3 linked regions of the Drosophila melanogaster genome follow. The protein of the gene in region 1 purifies or fractionates together with the protein of each later gene. This does not show direct contact. Each region holds a gene or a part of one and is shown in the gene's direction. Other genes may lie near its edges.

The links.
Region 2: the proteins of Prp38 (region 1) and alphaCOP purify together in Drosophila melanogaster (affinity purification with mass spectrometry, with the first as the bait; one large-scale study listed by BioGRID). This does not show direct contact.
Region 3: the proteins of Prp38 (region 1) and Cdc5 purify together in Drosophila melanogaster (affinity purification with mass spectrometry, with the first as the bait; one large-scale study listed by BioGRID). This does not show direct contact.

What each region holds. Positions count from the first base shown.
Region 1 is NT_033778.4:9,140,287-9,148,699, forward strand, and holds Prp38 (pre-mRNA processing factor 38), read left to right. Parts: upstream 1-3,669; 5' UTR 3,670-3,841; coding exon 3,842-4,834; 3' UTR 4,835-4,865; downstream 4,866-8,413. Other genes in the region: CG8788 (uncharacterized protein), read left to right, coding at 1-12, 1,152-1,164; CG44286 (uncharacterized protein), read left to right, coding at 1,428-1,565; shrb (shrub), read right to left, coding at 2,329-2,369, 2,431-2,714, 2,773-2,950, 3,334-3,511; CG30344 (uncharacterized protein), read left to right, coding at 5,301-5,505, 5,574-5,686, 6,360-6,510, 6,577-6,760, 6,829-7,015, 7,077-7,212, 7,264-7,590, 7,653-7,809 and 1 more. UniProt on the Drosophila melanogaster protein: Required for pre-mRNA splicing.
Region 2 is NT_037436.4:1,638,212-1,649,314, reverse strand, and holds alphaCOP (coat protein (coatomer) alpha), read left to right. Parts: upstream 1-4,115; 5' UTR 4,116-4,145; exon of another isoform or gene 4,146-4,253; 5' UTR 4,254-4,357; coding exon 4,358-5,303; intron 5,304-5,359; coding exon 5,360-8,118; 3' UTR 8,119-8,249; downstream 8,250-11,103. Other genes in the region: Bro (brother), read right to left, coding at 769-1,410; CG17249 (uncharacterized protein), read left to right, coding at 1,915-3,333; CG13919 (uncharacterized protein), read right to left, coding at 3,378-3,773; Bgb (Big brother), read right to left, coding at 8,679-9,320; Mettl2 (methyltransferase like 2), read left to right, coding at 10,243-10,406, 10,461-11,103.
Region 3 is NT_037436.4:355,611-366,177, reverse strand, and holds Cdc5 (cell division cycle 5), read left to right. Parts: upstream 1-4,794; 5' UTR 4,795-5,049; coding exon 5,050-5,094; intron 5,095-5,163; coding exon 5,164-5,429; intron 5,430-5,488; coding exon 5,489-6,933; intron 6,934-6,992; coding exon 6,993-7,681; 3' UTR 7,682-7,778; coding exon of another isoform or gene 7,779-8,147; 3' UTR 8,148-8,327; downstream 8,328-10,567. Other genes in the region: CG13884 (uncharacterized protein), read left to right, coding at 1-347; CG1233 (uncharacterized protein), read right to left, coding at 932-1,213, 1,275-3,751, 3,837-4,425, 4,479-4,520; Roc1b (regulator of cullins 1b), read right to left, coding at 7,779-8,147; CG1231 (uncharacterized protein), read right to left, coding at 8,719-9,756.

The sequences.
Region 1 (8,413 bases):
CTTCTACATCATGTGAGTTGGTTGGAGTAAACCTCTTTTAAGGGCCAGATTAGATAGGAGGAATTTGAGTTGACTGACATCTTTATTTGTGTTCCCGTTGGGCAGTTCCAAATTGGAAATAAGAATAGATACCACTACTCAGAAAATAAATAGTTAAGCACTAATTAGAATGATTCATAGTAGATTAGCTTGTTAATCAAAAGATCTTTGTATTCAAGGGATGAATGAATAAGAAATTGTAATCAAGATAAGATTGAAATGATCCTTTTAATCTTTTATATCATTGAAGCAGGTTTCCCACATAGTTACGTAGCCTCAGAGAGTAACTTACTTGTATCTTACTTATATACATATACATATATGGAAAGTATAAAGTATATATAGTGGATAATCTGGTCAAATAGCTCGATCAATGACCCCAATGTTGTTATATAAACCAGTCTAGTAGCACACAGGGTACCTTTTCCCTTCGTATTCCCTAGTTTCTCCATTTCTATCACGTTTTTGGAGCAGTTCCTATGTAGTTTATGGCCCTGTTTACTTGGCACAGGGAATATTTTGATTATCTTGCAACCGCCTTATCAGACGTAGTAGCCCATGAGTAAATGGCTTCGGAGGGTGCAGTAATTTCCGACCAGATAGCCGTTCAATGCCTGCAATTTTCGAATGAACAGGGGTTAAGCTCGATCAGTGGGATTAATTAAATGCCAGAGGAGCGTAGCCGCCGTTCTCTAGCCGATGTTCTGGCAAACCAGTTTGTGCGGTCATAGATTCATTCGTTGGCTCACCTTGAACGTAGATCGCTCGGCCAGGTTGGCTCTGAGCTCTGAGCGAGGTGGGCGATATTGATATTTTGGGGGGATCTGGTCTGGAACTGCATAACCAGTTAAGAATCAGTTGCGAATTAACTGGCGCTGCGAACAGCTGAGTAAGCCACGATCGGGGAATGTTAGTGTCCGGGGATAGCCCCGAAAATAACCAATCTGGGCGTGGGACTTGCCAGGTGGTGTGTACATAAGTGCGTGATTCAGTGGAGCAGCTGGGCAGTTACCATTGGGCATTCTCTCAGCACGCTGTAAGATTCGCGATCGCGTTAGCAATTGCCATACCACAATTGATGCAATAACAACTCTCGTTTCATTTCGTTTAAGGTGGCGCGCTTGAAGATTAACAGATGATTGTGGATCGGAGCACCAGTCGGATGAGTCCTGATCCGTGTCTAAAGTGACCTGCAGCTATATATATATATCTGATACCCTATTAGGAACATCGGAGCGTTGTCACTGGCAACAACCGCCTTTTGCCTTGTTGCACCATCTCCATTGGACGAGTCCGGTGTTTAGTGATACTAGTTATTTATTTACGATTTTACACAAGACATTCATTGTACGTGCTGTCCGATCGATCCCTTCTCCTCCTCCTTCTATATGGACGCCATCACAATCCTGGGCTTGATCTACTGGCTGATCTGCATGATTGCGTTCGGACCACTGATGTTCTTCGTCTGCGTTTACCTGCCAGAGGTTCCGGTGCGATATGTAAAGGGTCTGAGGCAGCAGACCTGAGCGCCTCCATCCTACTTGACTACCCCCAACTAGCAAAGTCCGTAGTAGATAGATTGCCCAAGCCATAGTTAAAATCACATTGATGTACACCCGATCGATTTGCAATAAAAGTATACACAAGAATGCATTCAACTTAAAGGTGTATCGTGATTAAAATAGTGGTATTGTGGGTTTTTCGTAAGATAAGATGTTCTCTTATCCGCGCGTTGATAAGACAAAGAAAGATACATTTGGGGGGTTTTATTCAGAACCTGCTTGTAAGGAACAAGTGTATATAAATAAAATATTTTAGTTGATGTTTTTTTGCGCCTCTCGCGGCTACTGAGTTACCTGCAGTCGAGAGGCTTCATGTTTTTATTTTCGTTTGAATCGCTCGATACAAAGCTAAGACTGCGGAAAGATGAGTGCCACAAAACATATTTGGGTTTTTATCAAAAAGCTACATTTCTTTGTTGGAATATTAGATCTGCATACACCTGATGGCCAATCAGCGTTATTCAAAATAAACAAATCAAATATGAAACTACGTTGATACCTACTTTTGCTCATGTGAGGCCTGACTATGCTTATTTCGTTTATTTTAAAATCACATTCCTAGTTTATGTACCATTTGTTGAATTGCCAAAGGAATTAATGCCTTGTATTCTCTCCCTCGCTTCGAACTAAAATTTTGCTTAATTAACAGCAGTATTGATTATTAAATTAAACAAAAACGATAGGGTGTATCTTCAGAACAGTAAGGAGATTTCAATAGCTCTCTGATTTAGTTGGACCAGGATAAAAGCTGCTTCATGTCTGGATCATCTGTAACGCAAGTTAATCGTTAATTACCAAACGTAGATCCACATGCAGTGACTGAACTCACCATCATCCTCCACGGCAGTCGTGGTTGTCGCCTTTTTCTTTTCTTTGGCCTTCTCGGGCAAATCTTCTGTGGGTGCTTCTGGCAATGTGGGCGTCGGCTCGGGTATGCCAATGATTTCCTTATCAAAGTTCTCCTGCTCCAGCTCGTCGAGTTCCCGCTCGAGATCCTCATCATCCAGATCGGCGCCGAATGCCACTGGGTTCGAAATGGCATCGGAAATCTCGCGGGCCACGTCCTGCTGCTCGGCAATGTCATCCATCATGTCGTGCACCTTGTCCACGTCCCTGCATAAAAGTGAAAGTTAGTTCCTGGTTGATACAATGGCACAAATCCATGACTCACATATTCTGATGGGCTCTCTTGAGGGCATCCGCGGCATTCTTCATCGTGGTCAAGACGGCAGTGTTTGTGTTGGCGCTCTCCAGAGCCTCGCGCTGCATTTCGATTGTGGACAGGGTGCCATCGATCTGCTGGAGTTGCTTCTCCAGCCGCTTCTTTTTCTTGAGTGCTTGCAGGGCCACTGAAAATGTGAGAAGTGGAGGAATTAGAAGGTTTCGAGGACTGGCTTATGTATATATCCGAAATATGATTTGGCCAATTCGCAATGCGTGCTTTGAAATTACTCTACTGCATGGCTTGAGTTTGTTTTGGGTATTAAAAGTAATGTTTATATTACGTTCTGAGCGATTTGCGGACACGTCCAGGCATCGAATGGTATGCGGGTGAAAAGGCAAAGAGATACATATTGTTTATTGAGTTTTCTATTTGCTGGCAGTATGGGATACTGATTAACTGGGAGCAGGCCTCGCGGCCGCAACAAAAACAAAGCAATGAGTCATTTCCCCTTGGCCCATTTGAGTGACCAACTAGGAAGCCAAGGACCTCGGCGCACTCCTCTCATACCTCTTTTGTTTTTAGACGCATTCTTGCGGGCTATATTCAGTTCGTCCTCGATCTTGGCCTCCAGGAACTCCTGCTTTTTGATAAGCATGTTCTCCGTCTCGCGCAGCTTCTGTATCGCCTCGCCGGTGGTGGGGGCCACTTCCTTCTTGCCGCCGAACATCTTCCCGAAGAAACTCATCCTGGCTGATCTGTTTTTTCACCCGAATTTAGCGAACAAGTGAGTTTTTTTCTGCTATTGCGTTTCTTGGTTGTCTGGGAGCTGTTGTTCGTATGCGTCACCCGATACCGATTGCCGTCCCCTATCGTTATCGCCTTTGTGTATGCGCTTGGCGGAGTGGCATATTTCTCCCTTACGCAGCTGGCCACTCTGGTTAGCAAACGCCGAAAAATAAATAAATATATTCGGTGCATTTTCACATTTTGCACTGCTGCCAATAGATACCCGAATTTCTGGATTGAAAAGTCCTATTTGAGTTACGATTGACAAGGAACAAGGGTTCAACTGAAAATGGCCAACCGCACGGTGAAGGAGGCCAAAAACGTGCACGGCACCAATCCGCAGTACCTCATCGAGAAGATCATCCGTTCGAGGATATACGACTCTAAGTACTGGAAGGAGCAATGCTTTGCTCTCACTGCGGAGCTTCTGGTGGACAAGGCAATGGAGCTGCGATTCGTCGGAGGCGTCTACGGCGGCAACATCAAGCCCACCCAGTTCCTCTGCCTCACACTCAAGATGCTGCAGATTCAGCCGGAAAAGGACATCGTAGTGGAGTTTATCAAGAACGAGGAGTTCAAGTACGTTCGAGCATTGGGAGCCTTCTATCTACGGCTCACAGGAGCTGCCCTGGACTGCTACAAGTACCTGGAGCCGTTGTACATAGACAATCGAAAGCTGCGCCGCCAGAATCGCGCCGGCCAGTTCGAGATTGTCTACATGGATGAGTACATTGACGAACTGCTGCGCAACGACCGTGTCTGCGACATTATACTGCCCCGCATCCAGAAGCGCTCCATTCTCGAGGAAAACAACGAAATCGAGCCCAAGGTGTCAGTGCTGGATGAGGACTTGGACGACGAACTGCCCAGCGACGAGGAGAAGGCAGACGAGACCAACCGGCCTAAGGAGAATTCGACAGCAGTGAGACGACCACGGAGAGTTCGCTCCAAGTCAAGGTCCCGCAGTCGGGAGCGCGAGCGAAGATCTGGGCAGGGCAACAGCGCCCGTTCCCGGGATTACTACGACGAACTGGAAGACTACGACCGCCAGCGAAATAGGGTGCGCAATCGGGACACCCACAACGAGGACTATGACCGTCGGCAAAACAATGGACGCCACGATCGCGAACGAGAGCGCCAAGATCGCGACAGTATCAGGGAGCGCGAGAGGGACGGCGACAGAGATCGCCGGGATAGGGAACGAGAGCGAGAACGTGACCGTGGCCGTCACGACCAGCGGGAACGGGACTCGCGAGGAGAGCGTGACCGACGACGCTACTAAAATTATAAATAAATTGAATTAATTAACCAGTAAAAAGTGTCAGAAAATTTAAACCACAAACTCTCAATTCGCCGCAAGTTGGCATCCCTAGCACTAAGAATCGAAAATCGAAATCAAAACAATAACACAGAAGAAGAAGAAGTCAATCAGCTGTTGCTGCTTGCATTTAGAAAGTTTCGAATAGAGTAACGTTAACTGCGGGAGAATCCAGCCAGCTGTACTTGTGAAAATAATACACGTACCAGGGATTTAAGCAACAATAAATCCACGTTAATCAGCAGTAAAGCAGCTGAAGCTTTAGTATCTGAAAACTCTCCGTCGCGTTTGGAAGACTTTCAGGGAACTGCGCAGCGTTCTGGTGAATGAATTGTAAATTCCATTATCTCCGGTAGACTGGTGTAAGCCAGACGCATCCACGAGTTCCGTTCTCGATAGCGAGCAAGTAGGAACGGAACGGAACGGCAGTATGCCTCGCTCTGATACGGAGGCTTTGGTGGCCGATGTGGAGACTGGCGAAGATTCGGCACCACGCATACTGGACGCATCATCTGCGGCCAGCAGTGAGCAGGTGGACCCGCCTCCGGTACCGCCGCCTCATGACTACAGCAGCTATCGCTGGTTCATCCTGGAGCCCGCAGTTTTTTTAATCTTCTTCGCCAGAAATTTAATTGGTATAATGGCTATAGGGCAGTAAAACCGATTGGATTGCATCATTGAATTAACTTTGTGTGCGTTTTAGGGGCGGTTTATCAGAACCAAATTCTCTACCAAACCTGCATCACCATCGAGAAATTCAATGCCACGCAATGTGAACCGCTGCTGGGCATTGATCGCGGATCGGACGCGGATAAAGTAAGTATTTAATTTGACCCTTATAGTATACACATCATGTACAATTTGATATCTGTACTTTGTGTAGTTTCTGTTCTCGTTGCCTGGTTTTTATCTCTGTGCAAATTATTTTTGCTGCTTTGCTGGGCGTTTCGTGTTGTGATTTTATGGCGATGAGGAAAATGGCAATTTTAAACAAATTTATCCAGTAACTGTAAACAAAAACTGAAGTTTAAGTTACAAAAACTGCTGAACAATTTTAAAACCACAATTAATGTATCACAATATTAACTTGTTTTACGAGTAATTGCTACTATTATGACCTTTGCTGTATAGAACAATGTATTTCGCATTTGGCTCGCCGATATTCTTCCAAGACGTGACCTACTTAGTATATCTTACTATATCAGCATCCGACGTGACAAAGTAAAATCAAATTAGCAAATCGTCTCAACCTAATGCAAAACTGCCATTGTTTGGAGGCTAGAGATAAGGTAATTAGAACGCCAGTCGAGGCTTATCAACGGCCGGAATAGAAGTAAGCAAAATCCTTTGTTACTGCATTTCGAAGCAGTATCGAAGTATTTACTAGGAAAGCGTTAAAATTATAATTATACGTACGAGATATGGCACATTGACTCATCCACAGTTGTACAGTTGTGCAGTTTACTAAAGTGAACTTCTGTTTTTTCAGGAAGTCGAGGTGATAGTACAGACGTATTCTGCAAATATTATGATGACAACCTCTCTGCTAGAGAGCATTATTCCTGCCTTCGCGAGTCTGTTCCTGGGTCCCTGGTCCGACAAGTTCGGAAGGCGGCCAATCCTGCTGACAACTTTTACGGGTATATAATCATCAGTCAGGACATCTTAATTGCATCTTGTACAAATGACTCTTATTGTATTTAAAGGCTACCTCACTGGCGCACTCATACTGATAGTAATCACTTACATAACGAGGTCCACGAATATAAGTCCATGGTGGTTCCTCCTTTCCTCGGTTCCTTCCGTCGTAAGCGGCGGAACTTGCGCCTTGATTACTGGAATCTATTGCTACATATCCGATGTGGCCAAGGAGCGAAAGAAGGCTCTGAGGTGAGTATGGGTAGTCTTGATTTATTAATCCAAAGAATGCCATTTCATTTTGATATATTATTTGAAAGAATGGTCCTCAATGAAGCCTCCCTCTGTGCTGGCATAATGGTGGGCAATGTGGCCAGCGGTTATATCTATGCTGCCACAAATGCTCTGGTGTTGTTTTCCATTGCTGGTAGCCTGATGATGTTTGCCTTGATGTACGTGCTTCTGTTTGTACCTGAAAGCCTAAATCCAGGTGACATTCACACCGGAGTAAGTAATTTCTATAGCTAAGAAGAAACGAATATCTCAACACTCCTTCCCTCATTTTTAGTCGCGAGTCCGTGAGTTCTTCCGTTTCGATTTGGTCACGGACCTGATTCGCACCTGCTTTAAGAGGCGCCCCAACTTTGATCGCACAATCATCTGGCTTACAATGATTGCCCTTACGATAGCCATTTTCGACATGGGTAACATAATTCAAACTTAAGATTATATGAGTTAATTTATAATGATTTCAGAGGGAGAGAGCACTGTAAATTACATGTTCGTGCAGGATAAATTCAACTGGACCATTAAGGACTTCAGTCTATTCAACGCATCCCGCATCGTGATCCAGATTGTGGGCAGCATCGTTGGCATGTTGGTATTGCGCCGCGTTCTAAAGATGTCTATCGTAACCATGGCAATGCTCTCCCTGGCTTGCTGTGTTCTGGAGAGCACGGTTCGAGCCACAGCAGTCTACTGGCAAGAGCTGTATCTGGGCATGACGCTGGGTATGATGCGTGGCGTCATGGGACCTATGTGCCGCGCGATTCTCTCGCACGTTGCACCCGCGACTGAAGTTGGTACGTACCCAAAGTGTTTAGCCTGCAAATACCATTAACTAAAACCATATGAAATAATTTAGGCAAGATCTTTGCTCTGACCACCTCCATGGAATCGGTTTCGCCACTGGGCGCTGCACCTCTGTACACAACCGTCTACAAGGCAACTTTGGAAAATTATCCCGGAGCTTTCAACTTTATTAGCGCCGCTCTCTACTTTGTGTGTTACATTCTGATAGCGTAAGTCCTACCAAGCACAGTTCAAGTCCAGTTTAAAGCGAATACTTTTCAATACAGCGTGATCTTCGGCATCCAGAAGTCGATGGGTAGTAGCAGTGTCTACCAGGCCATTGGCAGCTAACAAACTCTCCAGAGCACCGATTTAGCTGAATGTATCTCATAAGTTAAATTCCTTCTGCAGGCGCTGCGAAGAGCTCTCGTTTTAAAAGATTAGAAACTATTTGTGTAAATTAATCTAGTGTTTGTACTCCTTGTATATTTTTGCAAGTATTATTATGATTTTGATCAGTGTATATGTATATATATACTATATCTGCTATTTGGACTGTGTTTTGCATGTGCAAGCATTGTAAAGTTAAGAACAAAAGATTTAACTGTTTGCAGTGTGACAATAAAGTGTGAATACATCGAGCATTCAATATCTTTGAGCATAAATCGAATGGGAATTGTGTGTCGCGATGTGAGGTTTCTCGAGAGGGAGCCGCTCGAGCGTTCGTGCGCAGATAGGGCGCAGCAAACGCTTTGGTTTGCTCAAATTGGCAATCGCTTGCTTTGTTTGTTTACGTCGTCTATTTCAGCTGCTCCCTCCAGTTAGTCTATCACT
Region 2 (11,103 bases), on another chromosome or scaffold:
TACCAAAACACACCGGTCGCTAATTTTAGACGAATCTCTTAGCTTTTCGTGCCGATTCGGACGATGCGGAAAAATACGCGACCACCAGCAAATTGAGGCACACAATCCGAATGTTTTCAAGTTTTCAAATCGCTGCGGTATGTATAAGTTTATGAATTTTTAGTCCGCGGCGGCGTTCCCTTCACCTATTCCATTTTCACTCGACGCCTTTCCGCTTTCAGTTCGGAAAGAGACTGACTCGGATTCGGATTCAGATTCACATTCAGAGCAGTTGCAAAGTTTATTTCGGCAGCATCCCAAACGGAATGGCGGAAAATCAATACGTGCTCACGGGACCGGTGCTCTGGCCGCATCGAGAGTCAAGAGAGGACAGCCGCAGCCACAGCCGCGACAGGCCCACCCCGGAGAGTGGAGAGCACGGCGGAATGGCGGAACGGCAGCTGGACCCACTTCACCATCCTCGGGCAGTCGGCTCGGGTGGTGGTTGTTCCGAAAGTGGCGCAAATGAGGCCAAAGACCCCGGCTAGCAACCCTTAAGGAGGCCCAGATAAACAATCATTAGGTGAACATGAGTGGCTTTCGCCAAATGAATGACACACAAAACTCGGAAACTCCTTGTGAAATGAGAGTTTTAGTAATTGAGAGCAGATATTACCATTAGTGTATTAAACATAATCTCAGTATTATAAGAGCACGATCAATGGGTTTCAGATATTTATTGTTGATTTACTTAGATGTTACTTAAAGCTATGAGGGTAATATATAGCACTACCATCCCATTGGTCCTCTAGGCAGACCAGGCCCACCTCTGTGATGGTGATCCTCGGGTGGAGTCTGGGGCGTGTGGTAGATTCTCCTGGACTCAGCCATGCGCTGGTTGTAGCTTTGAATCTGCTCCTGCAGCTGAGCATCCTCCTGCTGGGCTCGTTGTTCATCGAACTCCAGGCAGGCAGCGCCATCCAGTCGGTCCAGATCCACCCAGCCCCGGAAGCGGACGCACACCCCGTTCATGATGAAACTAGAACGCAAATGAACTTTGCCCCGCTCCCGCTCGAAATCGCAATCCTGCTCCTGGGCGTACGGATTGTGGTTGGCGTTGAAGTAGAGCTGCAGATTAGTTCCTGAAGCTACCATCGATATCTCCGCATAGCCCTTGCGGCAGTCGTTGACAAACCGCATCCTGCGCTCCTCCATTGCACGTTCCCGGTATCCTGTGTAGCGAACCTCGCTCTCCCTACTCAATCGGCGGAAGAGCTCGTCGCTATCGAACTTGGACCTCTGGTCAGGCACCACGCGGGGCATCTTGAAGATGAATCTGGGCTTGGGCTGCTCGTACATAGCCATGGCTTCGTATGGCGGGATCATTCCATTCATGGCGGCCGCGTCTCCGAGATTCTGGTGATGATGCATGTCTAATGTTATAACTGTATTCTCCGAAAGATATAGTTGTACTGATCAATGTTAAAATTGACCGCCTTATTTAAACAAAAAAAAAAAGTTGTAGAACAGGTAATCGGGAGCGATTGGGCTACCTAACGAATCCCCTAATTGTCGCCTGGTAATCAAGGATGGAAACCATCTGGACACAATAAGGATCAGGTATAGCACTTATAAGTATCCTATTTGAGGTTTGTTTTATAATCCGTAGGGTTTTTACAGCTCCGAATATTATACTTTGAGGATTGCAGGTATAATGCTATCATAAATAAAACGAACGAATTGAACGCACTATATAATTTTAAGTTTAAATTCGAAATTACGTTTTAGCGGTAATTTTAACAGTGTTGGTTAGCACAGCGCTTAAGCAAAGGGAGTTGCCAACCATGGCAGCCCAAGCAGGTGACAACTCTAGAGTCCGGGCACATTAAACAGCTGTTGTGTATTGTATTGTTTAACTTTAGCAATTTTATAAACATGTCGCTTGTTGCTTATGCTGCCAGTTCTGATGAAGATTCGGAGAACGAAGAGGAAAATTCTGTACCACAAGTGGAAGTAATAAAACCCCAAGCCAAGCCGAGCACACCAAGTGAAGCGTATCTAGCTCGGGAATCAACCAGTGGTCACATTAGTGATGAAGATGACGACTACGTTCCCCAGGAAGTGTCCCTTCAGGAGTTAAAGCCGCCCAACGGAAGACTGCTATTAGCCTTACCCAAACCAAAAGTCACTGCTCCCGCTAAGGATCTGGAAAATGAGGATGTGGACAACCAGGTTACTTCCGCCTTTGCCAACCTGCCCATGCCACGAACAGCAGCGAAAGGAAAAGCCATTGTAGAGGAGAAAGACGATGAGTTTCTGCACAAAAAGGCGCTGCCCGTAGAAATAGAGAAACCTCCACCGCCGCCAGTCAAGGGAAAAGTAAAAATCAGCATTCCTTCACTAAGAGATTTCTCAGATGTAGACCAGGAGAAAGCTGACAGGGCTAAGAACAAAGTTGATAAGCCCAATGTACCCAAGGGATCGGGATTGTTGAGTCTGCTGCCCCAAGCAAAGTCGGAGCGCAACTTCTCCAAGAACTCTTCATCCGCGGTAGCCTACCCATCAGCCAGCACTACTCTTGCTTCCAGTCTAAGCAATAATCCTGCGCAGCCTCGAGCAGCACCAGCTTTTGTTCCCGATACAGTTAAGCAGCGACGAGCTGCACACAACACCGAAGGCGTAGATGGCCCTAAGGCCGGGCACAAGAAGAATCCTGAGACAAAAGACGCTTTGAAGTCAACAAAATCCAAACCTATAAGTAAACCCACTTCGCTGGTAAATGCCAGCGATAGTGAAGATGATGACGAAGATGGCACTGGAGACTTTTTCTCCCTGAATTCCGAGCAAAAGCTGCCTGAGGTGAGCAGCAACGAGATTAGCGCTCTAGTGGCCAAGCGAGCGGCCAAGATGGTGGAAGCCAGTAGCAAGTACCTAGAGGAGGTAGCCGAGAAGGAAGCAGCCGAAGCAGAAGCCGCCCGACTTCAGGAAGAGCAGTCTCAGATTGCACAAAAGCGCTACCATGAGCAACAGTTAAACGCAGAGGCCATGGACGCATTGGTGGGCAAAAATGCCAAGCGCCGGCGGAAGGAGGCCAAGGAGATGCAGGTGATCGACATATCTGGGTCTCAGGTGCTACCTGATCGCGAGGAATGGATGCGATCGGCTCTGGCTTCGTCCACCACCTTCCAACCGACCGGCGTGCTGACGGACGAGGAGCCGGTGGCAGGGACTCGGCGCAAGCACCAGATCACCTACCTGGCGCACAAGGCGAAGGCCAACGAAGCCGAGCTGCAGGCCATGTGGTCGGCCAACCGGCAGACCCGTCGGGCCACCCAAAGCAAATACGGCTTTTGAGTTTTCACTTTATGTACACCTAATCCTACAATATATGCTTAATATTACTGTATCCAGCCCTCTCGTTTTCCCAGCCTGCTGCCAACATAGAAGATGGCGGTGCTCAGCAGCAGGATGACCGGGGCAACGGTCACGTATATGGGAATCTGTTGCGGGTACTCCAGCGTTAGGCAGATCATCACTTGGGAGGCGATGGTCAGCAGGACGCCGGCAATGTTCCATTTGTAGAGGAACAGGAGATCCGTCAGGCAGGTTAGGTTCCGCCACTTGCGGATAAATTTAATGATCACGTAGATGATAATGATCACATCGAAGAACCAGAGTGGCGTAAAGGTGACGAACCAATTCCAGGTGGTGCGTGGGTCCAGGCGGAGACACAGAAGAATCAGGAAGACCAGGACGATAAACCAAGTGAAGAGCGCCCGGTGTGCCAGTGTCATCTTTGTCACTTATTTATATATTTTCCATGGTATTACAGAAAATAAACAAAGCGAAGTTACCGTGAATAGAATGCACTTTGTCCAGTGCTGTAAAACTACGATTACAGTGGTCACTAAAAGTGTTCGTAGAAATACATTTACCAACTCAATTTTCGAATATTATTGACGAAGATTAAATATATTCAAAAATATCACGTAAAATCTGTATATTTAACTATATAAAGAAGACTGGAGAGCATGATAATTCATTCATATTCATGTGTGTACTTTTGAAAACTTATGGTTCCCAGTGTATGCACATCTGCCAACGCTGGCAACACTGACTGGGTCGCGAAGAAGAAGATAATTGACGTGTCACAATTTCGACGATTGGTTGGTGTTTTTCATAAAATTAATTGTTGGCAGTATATTACGTGTTACTTGTAGCGTATCAATAAAATGGGTTTGTTCTAACACCCACCTCTTGATGTTTTGATACAGGCAAGTGCTCGAACCAGCAAAAAAAGGGCGCTTGACGGATAAGCCGACACCTAGAAGTGCATCCAATTTGAGACACCTACAGGCAGAACAGAAAAAGTGCCACCATGCTGACCAACTTCGAGTCGAAGTCGGCGAGGGTGAAGGGCCTCTCCTTCCACCCTAAGCGCCCCTGGATCCTGGTCAGCTTGCACAGCGGCGTCATCCAGCTGTGGGACTACCGGATGCACACGCTCCTCGAGAAGTTCGACGAGCACGACGGACCGGTGCGAGGCGTGGCCTTCCACCAGCAGATGCCGCTCTTCGTCTCTGGCGGCGACGACTACAAGATCAAGGTGTGGAACTACAAGCAACGCCGATGCATTTTTACCCTCCTGGCCCATTTGGACTATGTGCGCACGGTGGCTTTCCACCACGAATACCCATGGATTCTGAGCGCCTCCGACGATCAGACCATACGCATCTGGAACTGGCAGTCGCGCAACTGCATCTGCGTGCTGACGGGCCACAACCACTATGTGATGTGCGCCCAGTTCCATCCCACGGAGGATCAGATCGTTTCTGCTTCACTCGATCAGACGGTGCGCGTGTGGGACATTTCGGGGCTGCGTAAGAAGAACGTGGCTCCCGGGCCCGGTGGGCTTGATGACCACCTAAAGGGTCATCCGGGTGCCACTGATCTGTTTGGCCAAGCAGATGCCGTGGTCAAGCACGTGCTCGAGGGCCACGACCGTGGCGTCAACTGGGCCAGTTTCCATCCCACCCTGCCGCTGATTGTCTCCGGTGCCGATGATCGCCTTGTGAAGTTGTGGCGCATGAACGAGTACAAGGCTTGGGAGGTCGACACCTGTCGCGGTCACTACAACAACGTGTCCAGCGTGTTGTTCCATCCCAGGCAAGACCTGATTCTCTCCAACGGCGAAGATCGCAGTATTCGCGTCTGGGACATGACCAAGCGCCAGTGCCTCTTTACATTCCGGCGGGACAACGAGCGCTTCTGGATACTTACAGCGCATCCGACCCTGAATCTGTTTGCAGCTGGCCACGATGGAGGTTAGTTGATTTCTTTTAGGAATAGGAATTTTTTGTAATGATACATATTCTTTCAGGTATGGTGGTCTTTAAACTGGAGCGAGAGCGTCCTGCATATGCTGTCCACGGGAATATTCTCTACTACGTCAAGGAACGTTTCCTTCGCAAACTGGACTTTACCACCACTAAGGACACTGTGGTTATGCAGCTTCGACCAGGCAAGTCGCCGGTGTACAGCATGTCGTACAACCCAGCACTGAACGCCGTGCTAATCTGCACGCGCACCAACAACCTGGAGAACAGCACCTACGATCTTTGCCAAATCCCCAAGGACACCGAGAGCCAAAGTGAGTCGGACAGCAAGCGAAGCTCTGGAATCACGGCCATCTGGGTGGCACGCAATCGGTTTGCAGTGCTTGATCGCAACCAGCAGTTGGTGATCAAGAACTTCAAGAATGAGGTGACCAAGAAGTTGCCAACTTTCTGCGAGGAGATCTTCTATGCCGGTACGGGAATGCTGCTCATTCGGGACCCTGAGTTTGTCACACTGTACGAAGTTCAGCGCCTAGTCTCCGTTGGAAGCATTAAACTGGCCAAGTGCCGCTACGTGGTGTGGTCTCCGGACATGTCCTTGGTCGCTCTACTCTGCAAGCACTCGGTTACAATCTGCGACCGAAGACTTCAGTACTTGTGCACCGTGCAGGAGAACTGCCGCGTGAAGTCTGGCGCCTGGGACGAGTCTGGAGTGTTTATCTACACCACTAGCAACCACATTAAGTACGCCATTACAAACGGGGACCACGGCATCATCCGTACGCTGGACCTACCCATTTATCTGACACGCGTCAAGGGCAACCAAGTGTTCTGCTTGGACCGGGAGTGCCGCACCCGTGTGCTCCACATCGATCCTACGGAGTACAAGTTTAAGCTTGCCCTGATTCAACGCAAGTACGATGAAGTACTGCATATGGTGAGAAATGCCCGCCTAGTGGGTCAGAGCATCATTGCTTACCTGCAGCAAAAGGGTTATCCAGAGGTGGCACTGCATTTTGTCAAGGATGAGAAAACCCGATTTGGACTCGCTCTGGAGTGCGGTAACATCGAAATTGCTCTCGAAGCAGCCAAGGCTCTCGATGACAAGGATTGCTGGGATCGCCTGGGACAGAGTGCGCTGCTCCAAGGAAACCACCAGGTGGTAGAGATGTGCTACCAGCGGACCAAGAACTTTGACAAGCTTAGCTTCCTCTACCTGATCACCGGCAACTTGGAGAAGCTCAAGAAGATGAACAAGATTGCCGAGATTCGCAAGGATGTTTCCGCCCAGTACCAGGGTGCCCTCCTTCTCGGTGACGTCAAGGAGCGGGTAAACATCCTCAAAAACTGCGGACAACTTTCGTTAGCTTATCTCACAGCCGCTACTCATGGATTCGATGAGCTCACTGAGTCCCTGGGCGAATCGATAACCTCGCAGGGTAACAGCCTTCCCGAGGTGAATCCCAATGCCCAGTTGTTGCAGCCACCAGTGCCCATCCAGCAGCTTGAAACCAATTGGCCGTTGCTGTCCGTGTCCAAGGGCTTCTTTGAAGGCGCCATGGTCACCAGGGCTGGCTCCAGTGCCACTGCCCGACAGGCGCTGAACATCAACGCCGATGCTGCACTGTTGGACGAGCATAATGGTGGTGGAGATGGTTGGGGAGCGGATGCCGACTTGGGACTAGATGAAGACGGAGATGACGAGATGCACGACGCGCTGAGCAACGATGGCGATGGTGGTGCGGGTGGAGAGGAGGGTGCCGGCTGGGATGTGGGCGATGATGACCTGGTTGTGCCCGAGGAACTGGCCTCCAAGATCAAGGCCTCAGCCCTCGACAGCAACTACTATGCGGCTCCCAACAAAGGCTTGTCTCCTGCCCAACAATGGGCCAACAACTCGCCTCTGGTCCTGGACCATGTCAAGGCCGGATCATTCGAAACCGCCTTCCGTTTACTGCACGATCAGCTGGGAGTGGTCAATTTCCAGCCATTCAAGACACTCTTCCTGCAGAACTACGCCTGCTCTCGAACGAGCTACACGGCCAATCCGAATCTGCAATCCCTAAGTGGTTACCCACTTCGCAACTACTCCGAGACAAACATCAAGCTGCAGCGTCCTGCGGTTGGCATTAAACTGAATGATTTGGTGGCACGCCTGCAAGCTGGGTACCAACTGACAACTTCTGGAAAGTTCTCCGAGGCAGTAGAGAAGTTCCATTCCATCTTGATTAGCATCCCACTGCTGGTAGTGGACACGAAGCTAGATGCGGCGGAGGCCCAGCAACTCTTAAGGATCTGCGCTGAGTATATCGTTGGCCTGAAGATGGAGACTGTGCGCAAGGGCATGCCCAAGTCGACGCTTGAGGAGCAAAAGCGTCTGTGCGAGATGGCCGCCTACTTCACGCACTGCAAGCTTCAGCCCGTGCACCAAATCCTCACCCTGCGTACCGCCCTCAATATGTTCTTCAAGCTGAAGAACTACAAGACGGCCGCCTCATTTGCCCGTCGTCTCCTGGAACTGGCGCCACGACCGGACGTTGCCCAGCAGGTGCGCAAGATCCTGCAGGCCTGCGAGGTAAATCCCGTGGACGAGCATCAGCTGCAGTACGAGGAGTTTAATCCGTTCACAATCTGCGGCATCAGCTGGAAGCCACTGTATAGGGGTAAACCCGAAGTGACCTGTCCCTTCTGCTCCTCCTCTTTCGACCCTCAGTTCAAGGGCAATCTCTGCACAGTTTGCGAAGTGAGCCAGATCGGCAAGGATAGCATTGGCCTGCGCATTTCAAACCTGCAATTCCGCTAGGACGGACTAGCTTGTCGCTTTTAATATAAATGTTTCCAACACGCCGAGCGAGACCCCATAGTTTAGTTTTACACGATCCTTGCTTATTATGTATAAAGTTCAGTATCTGTATATTATAATGCTATAAAATCAAACCAAACGACTTGTTTTCTTGATCGATACCTAGCCTCGGTAGGCAATTCCCAGTGAAGAGTCTTAGTCACTCTGCTTAAAGGTGGAAATTCCAAAATGAACAATGCCATATAGATTAGTAATTATGTATTTTAGTTAAAGATACGACACTAATTTCACACTAAGTTGTAAGTATAATACCATAAAAGCATACGTAAAGTAAGCATTACATCTAACACTAATCTAGGAGCATAATTATTCGAGCGTGTCTAACGTAATCGTATTGAAATCTCTCAAGTGAAAGCCCTCTTAAGGGGTTCGGAGCATTCTCAGTTGTCCATGAAATATTGAGTATTCGCGAATTGAGTCTCTAACTGCTGGTGATGCGTCTGCTGCTGCTGGGGAGGCAGCTGCGGATGGGACGGCCCAGGAGCCGTCCACAGGTCCAACTAACGACGCCACATGCTGGCGCCAACGCCAATGCCTCCGGAGGCCACGCCCCGTCGCACTGCCTCCATCTCGTCCTGTCGATTGTCACGGTAGGCGCGCTTAGTGTCCTCGAACTCACGCAGTCGCTGGTTGTAGCGATCGATCTGATCCCGCAGAATGGCGTCCTCGTGCATGGCGCGCCGCTCGTCATACTCCAGACAGCCAACTCCGTCCAGTCGTTCCAGGTCTATCCATCCACGGAACCGGACACAAACCCCGTTCATGATAAAGTAGGACTTGATGTGCACCTTGCCGTGCTCCTTGTCAAAGTCGCACTCCTTGTCGTGCAGGTACGGGTTCTGGTTGGCGTTGAACACCAGCTGCAGATTGGTGCCCGATGCCACGAAGCTGGCCTCCGTGTGTCCTTCGCGACATCCGTTCATGAAGCGCACCTGCCGCTCCTCGATGCTTCGTTCCCGATAGCCCGTGTACCGAACCTCGCTCTCCCGACTGAGCCTCCGGAAAAGTTCGTCGCTCTCGAACTTGGACTTCTGGTCCGGGACCACACGAGGCATCTTGAAGATGAAGCGCGGCTTTGGCTGTTCATACAATCCGATGGTGTCGTAGGGTATCATATTGGCAAGTGCCGCCTCGTTCATCATTTTAACGGGTTTTCGCGATTCGTCCGCTCGATGGAACGCTGAATAGGGTATGTTTCTATGGGTGCTTCTGCAGACCGCTGCGTGCACACAATAATCCCTGGAACTCGGTACCCTGGATGGGTTTCTTTTGGTCGCTCCTTCGACGAGCCTTCTGCGTATACACAATAAGCTCTTGTATCTTAGCACTCTGAATGCTAATTGTTTAAATTTCTCGCCTCCGTCGAAAAAAACAACGCACAATACAACAAAAAGGTTGGTTTGCGGTTTTGATATACCAACTGACGCGGCGTTGCCACTGGGAAATAGTGGAGAAGTCAAAACGTAGCGATGGAAGCAAAAGCACGGCACGAGCACCAAAAACTTATTCTTATTATTCATTCGAATTATGGATATAAGTCGCAAACATAACAATACATATTCATTTTACTTACCTACGGGTTTCATATTTAATTTACCAGTTTTTATATCATGCATTTTAACCATGAAACGATATCCGCCAAGGTATTCAGTCACGAGTACATCCCTAAAATAAACTATTGATGGTCTGGCAGCACGATTACATTTGCCCGCAATTTTCAACTTTATTTTTCCCTTTTCTCTAAGGGGTTTCGGTAAAAACTCGATGCGTACTCAACACGCCACAAACTAAACACACATAGAACACATATTTCACAATTGCTTTTGGAAAAAAGGGCGATAACGGGTACATCCGATTTCCCGCTCGGAAGAGAGCCGCTTCGAAAATACTAACGGTTTAACTTTATTGGATCGGTGCACGGCCACACTGGCGGCGTGTTTACCAAAATATATAATTTGGATCGCACAAACAGGTGATATATACCGTCATTCCTGTCCGATATGAGTGACAACCCCGCCGCGGAGAACGAAAAGCGACCGCAGTTCGGAACCCGCCTGCTCACGGATGCTGACGACGTCTTCAAGCACAATGCTTGGTAAATATGGGTGGCAAATCCTCCGGAGATTGGCCAGCAAAAGTTGGGAACACACTCGCCAGCGTAAAAAACCGTCGGGAGCGGGCAGCCGGGTGCTCACCGACGCGCGAGAGGTGTTCGAGTTTAACGCCTGGTACTTATCTGCCGTTCAGTACTCATGAAAATCCCTCTAAACATGGATTCACAGGGACCACGTGCAATGGGATGAAGAGCAGGAACTGGCCGCGAAGGCGGCTGTAGCCAAGAATTCGACCTCAAAGATGGAAGCGGAGCAGAAGGAGCGATTTCAGACAGACGCCCCCAAGTTTTGGGATTCCTTCTACGGCATTCACGACAACCGCTTCTTCAAGGATCGCCACTGGCTGTTTACGGAGTTCCCCGAACTAGCTCCTCTGGCGGCGGATTCGGCGGTACTGCAACCACGTAGCATTTTCGAACTGGGCTGTGGAGTAGGAAACACAATTTTACCCCTTCTACAGTACAGCTCTGAACCGCAGCTCAAGGTTTTCGGATGTGACTTCTCCGCCCGGGCCATTGAAATCCTGCGAAGCCAACGGCAGTTCGACGAGAAGCGCTGCGAGGTGTTTGTCATGGATGCCACGCTGGATCATTGGCAGGTGCCCTTCGAGGAAAACTCACAGGACATTATTGTGATGATTTTTGTGCTGTCCGCAATTGAGCCAAAGAAAATGCAGCGGGTATTGGACAATTGCTATCGCTACCTGCGTCCCGGTGGCTTGCTCCTCTTCCGCGACTACGGACGATACGACCTGGCACAGCTGCGCTTCAAGAGCGGCAAGTGTATGGAGGACAACTTCTACGTGCGAGGC
Region 3 (10,567 bases), on another chromosome or scaffold:
ACGCGGCCGTTTCACTCGTGCTGACCGCCATGGCGTTAATGCACAGCCTGGTGACGTCGCCGCGTTGGCGGAAGCAGAATTCAGCGAAGATTTTCCTGGCTATGCTTCCCTGGATGCTAGTGTGCTGCATTCATTTTCTGATGAACGTGATGCTGCAGCTCAACGCGATTTTCAACATGGCGACAGAGACGCGCCAAAAGGCTTTGATCTACGCCCTGGGCTTCTATTGCCCCATCTTTGGTTTGGCCCTGGAACAGATGCTCCACTGGAACGTCGTTTTCCATTTGATGACCGACGGGATAATAACAAGCATCTCTAACACCCAACAGCCGTTAGGGAAATTCTAAGTTGGCAGACCGATTTCACTAATTTACAACCTATAGCTCAATTTGTAGTAACTTACGCGTTTATGCTACATAAGATAGATTCATCTTTTGAGCATTGATTTACAATAGGCACCCACACACTTCCACATTTTGATAAGAGGTTTGAGATTAAATGTATGTGTAAATGTATTTCTGTTCTGAGCATGCTGTGTATATAGAAAGGAATGAAACTGGAGTTCAATTAATAAAGCCTTCCCCAATTAACCTTTATATACATACTTATGTAAAGCAACAGGTCCTTAAAATTGTAGGGCAAACATATACAGAAAAAGAAAAACGTAAAAGTCAAAAGAATTATCTTCGGAGAATTCCGAAGTCTTGGATTGCACAGTCTTCAGTTGAAAAGATCCAATCCATCAACATTATCATCCTTCCAAAGGAATCAAGCATCTGAATTGGAGTTTTCCCCCTTACTGTGACTTCCTGCGTACTTAACACTAATAACATTGGTACAGTTTTGGTATAAAACTCGATTAAAACTAAGCGGCACTTTGTTCTCGCGCAATCTATCTTCTAAAATATGTACAGAAGGGAGGAACTCGTCCCTAGGAAGCCTGCAGGATATTCTCTTGAGCCTTGATCACCTCCGTAGCCACTTTTGTACTGGAATGAGCGAGCACCAAATTGCTCTCCACCTTGATCTGTGATTGTTTCTCCACCGGAACATCACCCTGGGATGACGCTAAAGTTTGATTGTGATTTCCGGCGTCATGCTTGGCCTGGTGAACCTGCAACAGACCTTGATTGATGCTGGTGAAGTTGCACTGGTTGCATTTGTAAATGATTGTGGACAGCTCCTGTTCAGGATGGCGGGTCTGAAGGTGTATCTGTCCACGGAGAGCAAGACTATTAGAAACTTGACTAATTATTAATAGAAATCTATCGAACCCGAAAGGCGGTGCTCTGGATGGCTCGGAAGTCGCAGTGCGGGCAGGAGTAGCGTTTACTCTCCTTGTGCGTGGCTAGGTGGCGGCGATAGGCATTGTGATCGCTGGTCTCATGATCACAGGTGTCGCAGCGGAAACGTTTATGCTCCTGATGGCTCCGAAGATGAAGTCTCAGGCTGCTCTTAGAACCAAAACGGCGCTGGCACTCGGGGCATTCCAGCTGTTCGTTTCGCTCTTTGCATAGGTGCTCCCTTAGGGTTTTCTTCTGCTTGAAGGCGGCGCCGCAATCTTCGCAGCGATGCATTACAACGGGATTACCTTCTGGTCCCACGGAAATCTGCTCGTTCGACTGCTTTCCCATGCCCAATCCTTGAGTGCGATGCAAGCGACGGTGATTCTTCAATTGCTTGGTGTTCTTAAATCCCTTGCCACACTGCTCGCACTTATAGTTTCGCTCCTCCGAGTGGATCTTAGCGTGGGTGTTCACGAGACGCGAATAGATGGGCGTCTTAAAGCTGCACAGCTGGCAGGAGTACAGCTCCATGTCGATTTGGTGGGTCCGCCAGAGATGCGTATGCAGACAGTTCCAATTGCTAAAGTTGCTGGACTTGCATTCCGGGCACACAACGGGTTGGTTTGAGCTGAGGGATCCATTGTGGCATCTGCCGTGATACTCCAAAGTTACGGGTGATTTGAAACGGAACATACAGCCCTCCACAAGGCACTTGCCTCCCTCTGGCACTTGATTTGGGCCCAGAGAGAGTTTTCTTTTGGAAGCTGCTCCACCAGAGTGCTTCGCTCCGTAGGGACGGCCCCTGACCGAGGTGCCGCCTCCAAGAAGCGGTGGGTCCACGGCGGCGGGAAGAAGATTATTGGCCACATAGATGCGGGCTGGCTTTTCGATAGCAGCATTCATCTCGGCTGCCAAGGGAACCAGCGGCGGAACCGGCAAACTACCTAAGGCTGCACTTTGAGCAACAGAGGCTGTCCCTTCCGAAGATGTTACCGGTACTAGAGGTGGCACTGTCCCTCGTCCTCCCGCTGCAGTTCCTTCTTCTGCGTTTTGTGTGTCCTCCGGTGGTGCGGCGTACAAATGCGAAAAATCCTTGACTAGCAGATCCACTGCATTGTGAGACAAACCATCGAGTGGGGGAGCATTAGCCACTTCACTGGGTGTAGGCAGAACGAGTCCAGCTTCTGGTACAGCATCTTCCATCCACGGCCAGCACTCCAGATCCTCAGGTAGGTCATAGCCATCCTCGCTAGGCCAACTTTCACTAATAGACGGCTGAAATTCGCCAAGCGTTTCCGTTGGTCCCTTGAGCTGTGAAGTTACTTCCATTGGCTGCTGCTGCACGGGCGGAAGCTCCATCATGGTCATTGCCATCGGTTCTAGATTGGGCACGATTAAGTGCTCCACCTCGGTGCGATTCATTAGGTTTAGTTCGTCCACAGTGCGCAGGTGCAAGGTGCCCCTCTGCGGTGCTTTCAAAATGTCCACGTTTTTGATGAAGATCTTTTGCTTGGTCGTAATGGGAGCCGTAGGTGGCATGTAGTGCTCCAGCTGGACAGGTTGTGGTTCCATCATTGTCAGTGGATCATTCAGAGGAGGTGGCGGAGTTGCCTCTTCCGAAACAAAATCCACACCAAAATCAAGGTCCAAAGCACTAAAACGTGTGTTTTCCACATGGGCGGCAGGTGCTCCATTGCCATTCAGCACAGAATCAAAGGGAAATGCCTCGGAACACATCTGTGCGAGCGGGGCGAGGCTGGGCTCGAATCCTGGAAGCTGACACGTGGGCGTTAGTAGTGTCTCCGACTGGAAGACATCACCATCTGCTCCTCCTACAACCAGGCCACTTTGTCCTGGCTCTGCTGCCGACGGCATGGTGCTATTGAATCCCAGACCGGGCAGAGCAGATGGCAAAACCATCGGTTCCTTGAGGATGTCTACATTGCGGATATAAATCTTCGGCTGGCGCGGCTTCTCCGGCTCCCCGACAACATCAGGAACTTCAGGGAGACTATTGTCCGTATTGACCGAATGGTTCTGCAGCTGGAAGTCGAACGGCAGCAAAGCGGTCTCCCTGAGCACGTCCACGCTCTTGATGGAGATCTTCTGGATGGGCTTTGGCGGCGGAGCTGGTAAATTCGCAGCAGGTGCTGTTGGCATTGTCTGTTCGGTCGGCGATGCACCTACAGCCACACCTTCCAGCAGATCAAGAATGTTAGCGGCGGACCCGCTATCCGGCATTAAGGGCGGGAAATCCGGGAGTGGCTCCCTTAGGCAATCTACGCTTTTTATAAAGATGCGGCTCTTGGGTCGATTTTGGCTCTGCGACATCTGAGTCTGCTTTTTAGTTTGTGCTTCAGTGACTTTTCTGCCCATAAGCGCAAGTGTCTCACTGTCCTCCATTTGATGGTCCAAGCTGAGGTGCAAGCTGAGCGCATCGCTGGTGTAGAAAATGTTTGAGCAGCCTGTCGAAAAACACGTGAAAAGTGAATGCAAATATGATGAAGCATTCCAGCAGAGCACTCATATTGAAGGCGCACTATGCCTCACCTGGACACTGTTTCCTGTGCTGCTCCATATAGCAGTTGCCCTGACTAAGGTGTTGCTGAAGACGCATCTGGCAGAGGCTTAAGAATGGACAATTAGGACAGCGCAGGATAAGAGGCGGACCCTCCTGAATGATTGCCTTGCCCTCCACGCTGGCGCAGCTGGAATTTCGAGTTGGTGGCGTTGGCGTGGCATTCAGGCGATCCTTGGCTGCCGCTTCCGCAAGTTCCGACTTGATTAGTTCCTCCGACTTAATTTCCGCTGTACGCCTGCGGAAGGCATTGCGGTAGCTTTTCTCTGGTTGCTGCAAGTCGGTGGTGTGGATCTGGACAAAGGGAATGCCCTGATTGGGCTGGGACTCCACCGCCACCTCAGTAGGTGATCGATTCCCGCCATCGGCCAGCCACAAAGTAGTTCCAGAAGGGGTGGTGTTTGCAGCAGACGCGGAGGCAGATCCGGATCCCGATCCGATGACCAGCTCTTCGTCAAAGAATCCCCCGAAGTTGGAGTCCTGCTCCAAGGAGTGAACCGGCGTGGAAAGCGACAGGTCTTGGTGCGGATGTGTAGGATGCGGATGCGACAACGGGAGCAGCTGGAAGACACACGGCGTGTTTTTCTGGCCAGAGGTACTCGCTGGTTGCTCACCTGGTTGCCGCCGTAATATCCCGGATAGGTCGCATCGCTCATCGTGGGTGCCTTCCTTGGTCCAGTTGATTCCCGGTGCCGGATTCCGGTTGCCGGTTGCCGGTTTTCCGCTTCCTGGGCACACGCCTCTTAATTCCGCATCACAAAAATTGGCATTACGCAGAAAAAAAACTTTTCATCACAAAATAACTGATAGCGAACAGCTGTTGCTGTACACAGTGTGGCAGCGGTGTTTGCACAACTATATTCGGTCACACTGTCGCGTTATGTTATGTCGTGTGTATAGGCCCTTTATTAAATTGAATAATTTAAGTTACCAATATTAAGACCGAAGTTAAATCAAACGGTATACGAAGACTAAATACAATATAATGAAATTTTTTTGTACTAAGCTAGAATAGTTTAACTAGAGGTTCTATAAATATACCAAAACGTGCTGGAGATATCGCTGTTATCGAAGACTAACCATCGCTAGCGGCTACTGCAAAAAAAAGAGCGGAGTTTCGTGGACTCGAGTGAAAATTGTGAAAATCCATTGTATACGCGACAGAAAGCAACATAAGGCCCCAGAATGCCGCGAATAATGATCAAGGGCGGCGTGTGGCGCAACACGGAGGTAATTATCCCAATAGTCTATCGGTTAACCACACATGGCTTACATTGGCTACCGATTTCATTTTCCCAGGATGAAATCCTCAAAGCTGCGGTTATGAAATATGGCAAGAACCAGTGGAGTCGAATTGCCTCCCTCCTGCACAGAAAGTCCGCCAAGCAGTGCAAGGCCAGGTGGTACGAGTGGCTGGATCCCAGCATCAAGAAGACCGAGTGGTCCCGTGAGGAGGACGAGAAACTGCTCCACTTGGCCAAGCTGATGCCGACGCAGTGGCGCACCATAGCCCCGATCATCGGACGGACGGCAGCCCAGTGCCTGGAGCGCTATGAGTACTTGCTGTGAGTCCAACGCACAACATACTAAGTAGAAAATTTCTGATCCCTTTCCTGCCGTACAGAGACCAAGCCCAACGCAAAGAGGATGGCGAGGACACGATGGATGATCCTCGCAAGTTGAAGCCCGGAGAGATTGACCCCAATCCAGAGACCAAGCCGGCGCGGCCCGATCCCAAGGACATGGACGAGGACGAGCTGGAAATGCTGTCCGAGGCACGCGCCCGCTTGGCCAACACGCAAGGCAAGAAAGCCAAGCGCAAGGCTCGCGAAAAGCAACTGGAGGAAGCCCGCCGCCTGGCCACTCTCCAAAAGCGGCGCGAACTTCGTGCCGCCGGAATTGGCAGCGGAAATCGCAAGCGGATCAAGGGAATAGACTACAACGCCGAGATTCCCTTCGAAAAGCGACCTGCCCACGGATTCTACGACACTTCCGAGGAACACTTGCAGAAAAATGAACCCGACTTCAACAAGATGCGGCAGCAGGACCTAGATGGAGAACTCCGCTCAGAGAAGGAGGAACGCGAACGCAAGCGGGACAAGCAGAAGCTGAAGCAGCGCAAAGAGAATGAAGTGCCCACCGCAATGCTGCAAAACATGGAGCCCGAGCGGAAGCGCTCCAAACTAGTCCTGCCTACGCCGCAGATTTCCGACATGGAACTACAGCAGGTAGTCAAGCTGGGACGCGCCAGTGAGATGGCAAAGGAAATTGCCGGTGAGAGCGGCATAGAGACGACGGATGCTTTGCTAGCCGACTACTCCATTACACCCCAGGTAGCAGCCACTCCACGTACTCCGGCTCCGTACACCGATCGCATCATGCAGGAGGCCCAAAACATGATGGCCCTCACCCACACAGAGACGCCACTCAAAGGTGGCCTGAACACACCGCTGCACGAGTCAGACTTCTCCGGCGTGCTGCCCAAGGCGGCCTCCATCGCCACGCCTAACACAGTGATTGCCACGCCGTTTAGAACCCAACGCGAGGGCGGAGCAGCCACTCCCGGCGGATTCCAAACGCCCTCCTCCGGAGCCCTAGTTCCCGTAAAGGGGGCAGGAGGGGCTACGGGTGTCGTCAATACACCTGCCTACGTGAGGGACAAGCTAAGCATCAATCCTGAGGAGAGTATGGGCGTCACCGAGACCCCAGCACATTACAAAAACTACCAAAAGCAACTAAAGTCTACACTGCGTGACGGTCTCTCCACGCTGCCCGCTCCACGGAATGACTATGAGATCGTGGTGCCTGAGCAGGAGGAAAGCGAACGCATTGAGACCAACTCAGAACCCGCCGTCGAGGATCAGGCGGATGTCGACGCCAGGTTATTGGCTGAACAAGAGGCGCGCCGAAAGCGAGAGCTAGAGAAGCGCTCCCAGGTTATTCAGCGTAGTCTCCCGCGACCAACTGAAGTGAACACCAAGATTCTGCGACCGCAGTCCGAGAAACAGAACCTTACGGAACAGCAGCAGGCCGAAGAGCTGATTAAACACGAAATGATCACCATGCAGCGTGAGTAAACCCAACGTTTCCATTTTAACCCAAGTAACTAACGTCCTTTTTCTTGGCAGTGTACGACTCGGTCAAGGATCCCGTGCCTGGTCAATCGCAGCACAAGTTGGAACAGCTACAAAGCTACTTTAAGGCCAATCCCTACGAGGACATCTCGCAGCAAGAGTTGGCGAAGGCCAAGCAAATGCTCACCGAGGAAATGGAGGTGGTGAAGGAGCGCATGGCGCATGGCGAACTGCCCCTAGACGTTTATGCCCAGGTGTGGCAGGAGTGCCTCGGCCAGGTTCTTTACCTACCCTCCCAACATCGCTACACACGCGCCAATTTGGCCAGCAAGAAGGATCGATTAGAGTCTGCCGAGAAACGGCTGGAGACAAATCGCCGCCACATGGCCAAGGAAGCCAAGCGCTGCGGCAAGATCGAGAAGAAGCTGAAGATTCTCACCGGCGGCTACCAGGCGCGCGCCCAGGTGCTGATTAAGCAGCTTCAGGACACGTACGGCCAGATTGAGCAGAACTCTGTCTCACTCTCGACATTCCGCTTTTTGGGCGAACAGGAGGCCATCGCTGTGCCGCGACGCCTGGAATCGCTGCAAGAGGACGTGCGTCGCCAGATGGACCGCGAGAAGGAGCTGCAGCAAAAGTACGCTAGCTTAGTGGAGGAGCGCGATTCGCTTTACTCTCAAATCGAACATATAACTGGCGTCAGGCCCACGGCCCAGCAACTCCTGCCCGACCAGGAAGCGTAAACCTTCTTTTGGAACCCAAGTCCGTTCTTATTTAATTACAGTAATTACATGCCAGCAAACAGCTATCACCACCTAATATCCCGATCCATATTCCTCGCTAGCGGCCGTACTTCTGGTAGACCCACTCCTTGTTGTCCAGCGGACAGACCAGGCGCGTTTTCAACCAGCGCGCGATGCAGTGGTAATGGAATGCGTGGTTGCACTCGCCCCAAGCCACAGTGCACTCGTCTTGGTTTGCATTCGGGTCCGCCTGGCACTCGATGCACAGGTTCATGATGTGGTTACGGCAGATGGCACAGTTGTCCACTGCTACGTCCCATCCCCACATGGCGTGCGCAACCCATTTCTTCACCACAAAGCGCTCCGTCCTGGCCTGGACAGCTCCTCCACTACAGGATGGCTCTTCGTCATTGAAGTCCATGTCGTGGAAGTCCTCCGTCTCCTCAACCTCTATCTCCTCGGCCATGGTGTGAAATTACGAATTTTTTTTCTTTTTCAAAATACAACACTTATTTTCGTATTCGAATTTGATTTGAACTATTTTAAATTCCATTTGTTTTTGGCCTGACAGTTAATAAAAAAAAGTTGACCACTACCGATTTATCTACGAAATAACAACGGCGAATAATTTTAAAAATAAATGCAGAAAAGAAATTAAACCTTGTGATCATATTAAGTGGGGCTCAAGAAAGCTTATCATCGGTAAACCACTTTTGAATCCCTAAATTTAGACAATTTTTTTAAACAAGAAAGAATGTTATAGTCGAATTTCTCGACTATCAGATACCAGATAGTGGGAGTGAGTTTGAGAGAGAAATTTCAAAATTATCTTGGCATATCGATAGAAATTTGTATTCCTTTTAACGAGTTTAATATACCCCTCTATGAGTAATGGGTATGATAACAAATTACGGTTTTTATAATGCCTTTCTTAAACAAAATAGCTGTTTCCCAAACTCGAATGTCATTATTATTAAGGAAGCTTTACTGCTAACGGGAAGTCATGGCTTAGGCTTAGGGTATATCAAATAAATTCTTTACACGTTCTTCTCAGTTTGGGAAAGGTTTTTTACCCTCTTCAGGTGCTTCTTGCCAATAAAGTGCTGTTGCAAGGTGCTCTCATGGTTCATCATCATGTTGCAGGGCTGGCAGTAGTACTGACCCATTGGAGTGCGATACAAGGCCAGTTCCGCGGCATCTAATTTCTCCGTTTCAGGGATCGGCGCCTCCGAATGATTCTGATCCTGCCGGGAGGTCCTCCAGTTCTTTTGGTGCCTGGCTCCAGCCAAGTGGGCCTGCATTTGTGCAGCAGAGGTGACCACTATTTTACACAGGTGGCAGGTGCGCTCATTATCGTCAGACTTGATCACGCTGTTCTCTGATATTAATACGTCCGTAGGGGAATCTTTGGTTAAACTTTCCGGCTTGCGGAACAGACTCCCTATGCCGTAACGACCAACAGATGTATCACAGTGCCTGGCTCCGGAGGGCTTCGCGACGCCCTGCTCCACACGCTTGTGCTTCCGACCTAAATAGTGCTGGCGGGCGTGCATAGAGGAGGTAAGGTCCAGATTGCACAGCTCGCAGTGAAAGGCGTTTGGGCCGGTTGGTCCTTGCTTGGCCAGCCGCTTCACTGGAGGCGCCTCCAGACCCACCTCCGTGTAGTTCTTGGCCAGCCAGGCGCTGATGTGTCGGTCGTGGGCCTTCGATTCGTAGTGATCCCGGGCGCGCTTCCTCGAGGTCATCTGCACCTTACACAGCTGACAGTTCAGTGGTCCAATAAGCCTGTTCAACTCCTCCGGATAGCTCTCGTCGCGTCCGGGAAACAAGGCCAAATCGCCGTTAGCCTTCAACGAATCCTCCTCCATGCACTTAGCCTTCCGTTTCATGTTCGTCCTGATTGACCCATTATCTTTCTTGTCCGTTCGCTTACCAGGTGCCACCAACCTGTTACTGGTCGAAATTTCTGCGTCTGGATGAGATTCGATACAGGCACTATCCACACGAATTTTGGGGGTCTCTCCCGGTGCAAGGTGCGGAATGTGGAAACCTCTAAGGGATCCGGGGCAACTCATCTCGCGACTAAAATCTATAAGCCAATGCAAAGCTAAAGATGGTCCAAGGGATCAGACGCATGCGTCAAACACTCCCAACCTTCAAATAACTTTCGTTAGATTCTTATATTCGCTCGATAATATTTGTTATGCTATTTAAAAAGTCGTATAATAATAGTAATTCAATAAACAATCAAGTCTACTTATTTTCCAAAAGTTCATAAATTTTCGTACAAGTAAACGTGTAACGATATTTTATAGTTTTTAAATATTTCATCTCTAGGCAAAGTCAATTTTTTGGCGCCAACCTCGGCAGATATTTTGGAAAAATGTACGAAATTAATTATTAACACACAAGGCTCCCCACTGAAGAAATAAAAGACTCGTTTTTTAATTACACATTTTATTGGATTTTTGTTCAGCATAAATACATTTATGAATTGATTTGGTGCTAAAATACTAACAGTTTTATCTTCTCATGTCTATCAGTGTATAAGGTTCGCATTCTCGGTTGCTCTTTGCGTCTTGTTATCGACCGCCAATTATGGGTGGCGCGTAGCGTTGGATGGGTGTAAATAAATTGCCATTTGTTTCGCTTTGTATACTTCGATTAGGTAGTTGGTTCACGTCGTTAACCATTCCGTGGTGGCTTTGTAAATTTAGAATCGTTCCTTGCAGCACTTTCGGCAACTGATGGAGAGATAATGTATAAGTGTGTATTTGGGGATACCTTATGAACGGAGTTGATAATACAATATACGGGTTTTGTAATTGTAATGATATACAATCAGTTTTAAACATATGTCTACGGGATCTAAAAATTAAATAGATT